Cricetulus griseus: one gene and its partner. The protein of the gene in region 1 purifies or fractionates together with the protein of each later gene. This does not show direct contact. Links are inferred from orthologs where the notes say so. Each region holds a gene or a part of one and is shown on either strand. Other genes may lie near its edges.

Region 1 (3,510 bases):
CGAAACAGGTCTTAAGTGATCTTAGGTGGTCAGGACTATCTAAGACACCAAGGCCCTAAGCAACATGACCTTAGAGGTCAAGCCTCACCTTGGTTTCAGCCCCGATTTCCCTTCCAAAACCTTGTAGCAATATCCACAAGAAACGAGAGGTCTGAACTTGGGATCTAGACATGCCACCATCACCCCGCCACCTCTGTGGTTTACCAGCCTTTAACTTCCTACCTTTAGTTCTCGGGAAGCTACTTTGAATGCAAGGTCGGTGACACTGCCTGCAGCCCAGCGGGCTGCATTGGAGGAATGCAGCTCGTTCCAGATGGTGTCAGTATCTACCTGTGGGGGCCAGGGTCAGGGACTGCATCACCCTATGCTTTCCACAGGAGGCAGGGCCCCATGAGGCAGTACCCACCCCATGGCCAGGACCCCAGGGGCAGGGAGCTGGGCAGACAAAGCTGCCTCCCCAGTGCCCCACCGCCCAAAGGCAAGGCCTCCTGTGTCCCCCAGTCCCAGCAGGACTTCTTCCCAGCACCAGCTCGTATGTGGCCAGCACTCTGCCTCCCCAGTCAGGGGAGGGGGCATGGCGTTACCTGGGCGGGATTGGGGTTTGGGCCCGGAGGGGTTTTAAGCCCCAGCTGACTCTGCTCAGGCCCTGCAGGACGGTCGGAGCTGGAGGGGCCGTCTGCACCACTGTCTTCCACTCAGAGCCCCTAGCCCAGGCTGGGAGGCCCCCCAAACCCAGTCCCTGGGCCTCAAGGCTAGGGAGGGGCCGGGGGCCATGATGGGGAGATGGGAAGGGCGAGGCGGACCGAGAGAGGCGAGGAAGGCAGAAAGAGTCGCAAGAGGCTGGAGAAAGAGAGAAAGAAAGGACAGAGAGGGAGAGGAGGGAGGGGAAAACAGAAGCAACAATAGTTGGAAAAACCAGAAAGTGGCAAGAAATGGGGAGTTGTGAACAGGGCACTGACTGTCTCCCCAACAGCTCCCCCTCCCCCCCCGGCAGCTCCCACTGCCTCCATCTCATCTCCACACACCTTGCCTGGCACCTTTAGAGGCAGGAAGGGCCATGCCAGCAGTATCAAAGAGACCTCCGACAGGTGAGGGAGAGGCGGGCAAAGCTGGAGGGCTAGAAGGCTATGTCCTGGGTAGGGGCATTCTAAACCTCTAAGTACATGGGAGGTGCCCCACGGCCCCCACACTAGGCAGTCCAAGGTCTGGAGGTCAAGTAGGGTACACCTGGAGTGCCTGAAAGAGGCCCACTCCTGGACAGGCAGAGCTGCTAACTCCTGGGACACAATCTCAAGCCCCAATGTGACCCTGCCTTGGGCCTCACTCAACATCTACCAAACACCTAACTGTGAGGCACTGGGCTGCACACTCGTGGGACACTAATGGGACTGGGATACATCTATCACAAGGAGCTTCCAGCCAGCAGAAGAGCATAACGGGGAAGGCCCTGACAGAACCACAAGTCACAGGTGGCAGAGGGGCGGGAGTGGGCCAAGAGAACCGAAGGGAAGGCTGAAAGTCCTTAGTAATGCCCACTTGAGATCTCTGGGCATACTTACCCCAACCCCACCACAGGGTAGCATCACAAACATCCGCTGTGCCAGGAGTCCTGTGGAGAGAGGCCCGGTCACAAAAGTGAGGAACGCAGAAGCCCTAAGAAGAGTGTATGGAGGGAGAAACAATACAGGGAGATATGGAGATGGGCGGGGTGGAAGTGGGGCTGACGGGACACATGGACAACACCAGGGCAGCAAACTGGCGGGGGATATCCAGGAAGCTGTGCACAAGTGAGGCAAGAGCACAGAGGTGGGTGAGATGGGTGAGCTTAGGGTGATTCGGGGCCAGACATCATATGGGTCCCTCCCCTACCTGTCAGCTTCCCATTATCCAGTTTGAGGCGGCTGAGGGGGTTGGTGCCGTAGAGGAGTACATGCCTTTCAGAGTGGACTGATTGCAGCTCCTCTAGGGAGGCCTTTCGGCCTCGGAGACACTGAGAGAGGGCCCACAGAGCTCCTGAGGTTTGCTCACCCCTGACCTTCTGCTACCACCAGACCACCCATTGTCTCATCCCTTACTGACCCCAAAGCCTCTCGTCCCTTCCCTTGCACAGCCCCACTGCCTTGCCTCACCTCACACCGGCTTCGGAGACCTCGCTCCTGCAGCCGGGACCAGATGCTCTGGATGCGGCCTGCATGCTCGGGGTGCTTGCTGTTGTCTCCACAGGAGCACTGGTGCTTCAGCATCACCGAGTCATAGACCAGCCCTGCAAGAAACAGCCATCCGTCAGGGCTGGAACTCGTAGTGGAGGGGCCTCCACCATGGCTGCAGATGGAGAGCAGCCCATGCCCAGAGAGCTAGGCATATACACATCCCTTGCTGCTACACATGTCTGTGTTCCCTTCCCAGGCCTTCTGTGAAGAGCTAGCCCTGTCTCTCTGTGCACATGCCTAAATGCCTCAGACAACCTGATGTACACACCAGTGCCAGCCTGCCTTGCTCTGCATGACCCTTGATTTCTTGGTATTCGTACTCCCTATAAGGCTCAACCTATCTCCTATGCCCTTTAGAGTTCATGTCCTAAACCCAGAGAGACTTAACACAGGGCATCTCCCTCTCAGTGTCACAAACTCACAGAGGGTTTGTGTCCCAACACAGAGAAGAAAGACAATTGGAGGGAAACCTCAAGACTGGGAGAGAGGATACCCACAATGTTACAGGCCATGTGGTTAGTCTCCCAACTGCACATGGAAAACACTCAGAAAGCTAGTTTACCTTGTAAACATTATGCAAATAACACAAAACTATTTACATAGCATCTACGTTGTACTAGGTATTAAAAGCAAAGTAGAAGTGATTTCAATGTGGAAAGATATGCGTAGGTTACATGCAAATACTATGCTGTTTTACATGAAGAACTTGAGCTTCTGTGGTTTCAGTGTCTTTATAAACTGGGCAGGGGTCCTAGAATCAACTCTCTGAGGGACTGAGGGCTTTCAGCCTAGCCCAAGGGAGGTCTCCAGAAACAGGCCCTGTATATGCACACTGCTAGTGGGAGGGCTGGGGGCTTGCACATCTCAGGGTACCAAGGACTTTCAAAATGCTCACACTCCTTGACCCAGGAATGCTACTCCTTAAGTGTGACCCTAGAGAAATAATCCCAGACAGAAGACAGGACTGAAACATAAGAAAATTAAAGGTCAGGCATCGGTGGCGCATGCCTTTAATCCCAGCACTTGGGAGGCAGAGGTGGGTGGATCTTGTGAGTTCCAGGCCAGCCAGGACTTCATAGTGAGAGTCTATCTCAAAAACTAACAAACAAAAGCAAATTAAAACTAAAGCTGGACTGTGGTGGCGCATGCCTTTGATCACACCACTCAGGAGCCAGAGGAAAGCAGACCTCTGTGAGTTCAAGGCCAGTCTGGTCTACAGAACGTATTCCAGGATAGCCAGGTCTACACAGGGAAACCCAGTCTCAAAAAACAAAACAACAAAAATGAAAAAGCGGCCAGG
Region 2 (4,212 bases), on another chromosome or scaffold:
TCCTGAGTTTAATTCCCAGCAATCACATGGTGACTCAAACTATGTATAGTGGGGGGCTGATGACCTCTTCTGTCATGCAGGCATACATGCAGATAGAACACTCATGTGTGTAAAATAAATAAATCTAAAAAAAAGGACGTTGAAAATCCAGTGGGAAGCAGAACATGATGTCCATTGCAAGAGAAGCAATTCCGATTGAGGGTTATTTGTTTCTAGCTAATTAATGTCAATTTGTCCTTACTCGACCTCTGGTGCACCTTGAACTCCAAACTAGGCATGCCACTTTCTTTTCCGCTTTAGTCAGGATTTCCCTATATAGCCTGGATTGGCTTCAAGTTGCTGATCTTATTCCAACTTGCTTCAACCTCAGCCACTATAGTGCTGGTATGGAGGGGTGGGATATAACCACGCATGCCCAGGAAAACCAGACACAGACACAGACACAGACACACACACACACCACACATCCGTCTGTCCTTCCTTCCTTCCTTCCTTCCTTCCTTCCTTCCTTCCTTCCTTCCTTCCTTCCTTCCTTCCTTCCTTCCGATGGAGGTCTCACAATGCAGCCCTGGCTGACCTGAAATTCGCTTTGTAGAGCAGGCTGGTCCCAATCTCAGAGATCCTCCTGACTCCTTAATGCTGAGATTAAAGGTATGCACCACCACACACACAAAAAAAACCAGAGACTTTTGTTTCTTTTTTGATTTTTAGAAGCAAGGTTTCTCTGTGTAACCTTGGCTGTCCTGGAACTGTGCAGACCAGGCTGGCTTCGAGAACTCATAGAGATCTGCCTTCCAATGCCTCCGGAGTGGTGGGGTTGAAGGAGTGTGGCACCAACACCACGTTAAAACCAGGGCCTTTAAACAAAAGTCCTATCTGTGATGGGCCAAAGCGATAAAATACGGCTGAAGGGAAGAAAAACATGATTACGGTGTGTGAACAAGAAAAAAGTTGGCGCGTAAAAACTGGAGCCCTCCCTTGTTCACCTGTCAGTTCTTTACACAGAGGTTAAAAGGCTCTGAAAAAGGCACATGAATGAGAAAAACGTGCAGGAATGCACAGTGAGTGGGTCTCAGTGAGGAAGGCCTGCAGTTGCAAGAACCCATCAAGCCTCTCGCTCGCTCGGTCTTTCCGCAGGCAGGCCTGTCCTCGGCCGGCGGCCACCGAACAGGATCCTGGCTCATTCCTTTAGCCCAGTCTCGGCCTCCAGCCTCTCCCGCTCGCCTGGGCCGTTCTTCTTCGCAGTCGCAGTTCCCGCCTTACTGCTGAGCCGACGGAGGAGGGGCGTCAGTCGTGCTGGTTCCAGCCTTTTCTGGCGCCGAACTCCCGGACCCGCCCCCCCGCGCCAGTTGCCAGGGAGCGGTTGCCATAGAGCTGAGCAGTTGTCCGCGTGCGCAGGCGGAAGTCCCGGATTGAAGCGCCGCCATTTTTACTGCTCGGACGCGGAGCGAGAAGCCGAGAGTCGGAGACGCTATCCGCTTCCATCCGTCGCGCAGACCCTGCCGGAGCCGCTGCCGCTATGGATGATCGGGAGGATCTGGTGTACCAGGCGAAGCTGGCAGAGCAGGCCGAGCGATACGACGGTGAGTTGGAGGGGTGTCGGGGGGCTGGAAGTCTCGGACCCTCCGCCGCCGCCCACAGAGGCCGGGAACCGGAGACAAAATGGCGGCATCGTCCCCGAGTCTGGCTCGGGACGCGGGTCGGGAAGCGGGAAATGTCCTGCGGGCTCCCGAAGCGGTGGGAGTCTCCGGGCCCAGGAATTTGACCCCTCCGGTGTCCTTAGCTTGCAGACGCTCGCCCGCCAGCAGGCCGGGGAGTAGGGTGGAGGAGTTGGTTGTAAAATGGCGGCTGAAGGGGGAGGGCGAGTCCCCGGGCGGGGGAGGGGGGAGGAGGTGGCGGGTGCCGTCTCCCGGCGCGCAATCCCCACGGGAGCTTTCGGGACCGTGGCGGGATGCGGAGGACAATCGGGTGGGGTGATGTGCGAAGCAGCAGCGGTCGCTCGGGGGAGGGCGGAATCTTAGGGAGCTGGAGCGCGGGCGCCTTTTCAGGGAAATATGGCGGGTGGGGGCGGTGGCTTTTCCCGGGAGGCCCAGTGTGGGGCGGCGGCTGTGGAGCCTCACAAAGGAGAAGCCTCAGGAGCGGACGGCTTCTCTGGGCCGCTGGTGGGGAGTCGTCTTTGGAGAGGGTGGAGTGTGTGGAAATCACTGCAGATTGATCATCCTTGGGTGGAGGCAAGCTGAGATGCTGCGATTGGATTCCTTCCCGCAGGCCGGCGCACCTCGGAGTTGAGGGTTTTGGGGGGCTTCTCTGCCTCGCCTCCTCCCATGGATGTGTGGAGCCTCACTCGTGCTCCGTTTGTTCTCACCCAGGGGATCCCAAAGTTCCTGTGGGTTTTTCTTTTTTCTTTTCCCAACCTTCAGAAGCCCGAGTTCTGATGGATAGAATTCTTAAATACAGGAGACCAGGCTTGCCAGGACCCTGTAATAATGATGGCTTTTTACAGTACCCGTGTCTCAAGTCTACCCGTTTGTAAAAATGACTTTTCTCTTCGCACTCAGCATTATGACACATGGAAAGACCTGTTGAAAAATAGTTAATTTAAATAATGTTTAGTAACACTCCCTTGGTTGACGACGTAAGTTTGGAAAATTCGTGTTGCTTGGCTTGGGGATCTTTACCTATTTTGAGGACTCGGTTGAGGCTTGGGGATTTTGAAATACAATTCTTTTTTTTTCCCCCTGTTTTATGACTTCATTGTTGCGTGGCTGGGGTTCCAACCCAGGGTTGCATGCATGCAAAGCAAGTGCTCATATACTAAGATACACTCTACCTCTGTTTTATCTATTTTAAGCAAATGGTTTTATGTACATATTTTAATAGTTATTTTGTTCACTCGACACCCACTACTTCCTCACCCCCGTGATGTAACCCAAGCCCTTGTACAGTGCTCTCTGTCACTAAGCTCTATCCTTAGCTCGTGCTAATTTGAATTTAGTCTTATCACCATTTCATTGAAATATCTTTTGTGTTTAGTCAGTTGTAGGCAATTTATGTTTTTTTTTGTGCCTTCCCTTTCTCTGATTTTGTACCTAGATACTTCAGTTAAGCAATATCTATCAAAGTAGTATTTTAAAAGTGATAAATCACATATATGTTTACCATGATTTATTTATGTTTGTTTAGGAATAGGGTCTCACTCTGTCGCTCTGGCTTTCTTGAAACCTTAGTATGTAGACCAGGCTGGCCTCTAACTCACAGAGATCCACCTATCAGTCTCCTGAGTGCTTTGATTAAAGGCATGTGCACTAAGGCAGATAGGTCCTTGTGATTTTAGTGTTGGGGGCTAGGATGGGATGCATGTTTGGAATTAAGTGTTATTGCCCCTAATTTTTTCCAAATTACTTAAGCCACTTGTTTTTCAAAAGTTAGGTCAGACCCTTTTCCTTGAATTCCAGTTTGGCTCTGTTGCAGCTTTTCTAGAACTAGTCCTAGAGTCTTGTCAGAAATTACTGTTCCAGCCTTTGGAATTTAGAACAGAAGGCTTCAAAACCCCCAGTTTAGGAAAGATACTAAACTGAATTTTGCCTTTCAGGTTTGAGTTGCTGTTGGCTTCTGTTGGGAGTGGGAGGAGGTGGGATGGGGAAAGTATGAATGTAGCTCAAGGTCAGCCTTCATTTTAGTGTTTGTAGCCAGGAGAGTTTGGTTGTAATGGAGGGTTCTCTCTCTGCCTCCCTGAAAGAAGTGTCCCCTGAATCTAGTGTCCTTGGGAGGAAACATGAAATTACATTTGAAGACTGGGGATTTAGGCTTAGTGTGAATGTGACCCCTCCTCCCAATAGAAAGGTATTAGGGAATCTTTTTGCTTTGTTTCTGAGTCATTTTTAGGAAGGATTTGGAAACTTGCATGATTGTAGCTTCCAAATAAATGGCAAGTTAACTTTAAATCATGCTTGTGATTTGAGTGCTGAGGGTTTCTGACTAAAGTCTGGCCTTGTTAGTTATTGAACATAGGAGTGTAGACAAGCCACTTGGTGACTGTCCCTTTGAGACTCTTAAAGAAAGAAGGGAATGCAATAGGAAGCACTGCAGTGATTTGGCATGAGGAGGGATCTAGAGCGGGAGAGGCAGGAAGGCAGTCAGGAAACCCACCACTACTTGACTGACTGCAGTGATTCAGCTTTGTTTGTGTAATAGAAATGGCTCTATAGAAGG

The links. Proteins that work in one complex are often made in the same cells at the same time.
Region 2: the proteins of Hdac7 (region 1) and 14-3-3 protein epsilon purify together in Homo sapiens (affinity purification with mass spectrometry; 4 studies listed by BioGRID and IntAct, with this or other methods). This does not show direct contact. The link is inferred for Cricetulus griseus from reciprocal best matches to the Homo sapiens genes HDAC7 and YWHAE.

Annotation. Positions count from the first base shown.
Region 1 is NC_048595.1:394,300,572-394,304,081, forward strand, and holds part of Hdac7 (histone deacetylase 7), read right to left. Parts: intron 2,264-3,510; coding exon 2,130-2,263; intron 1,991-2,129; coding exon 1,870-1,990; intron 1,610-1,869; coding exon 1,560-1,609; intron 331-1,559; coding exon 223-330; intron 1-222. UniProt on the Homo sapiens protein: Responsible for the deacetylation of lysine residues on the N-terminal part of the core histones (H2A, H2B, H3 and H4).
Region 2 is NC_048600.1:89,184,023-89,188,234, forward strand, and holds the start of 14-3-3 protein epsilon, read left to right. Parts: upstream 1-1,405; 5' UTR 1,406-1,519; coding exon 1,520-1,583; intron 1,584-4,212. UniProt on the Homo sapiens protein: Adapter protein implicated in the regulation of a large spectrum of both general and specialized signaling pathways. Binds to a large number of partners, usually by recognition of a phosphoserine or phosphothreonine motif.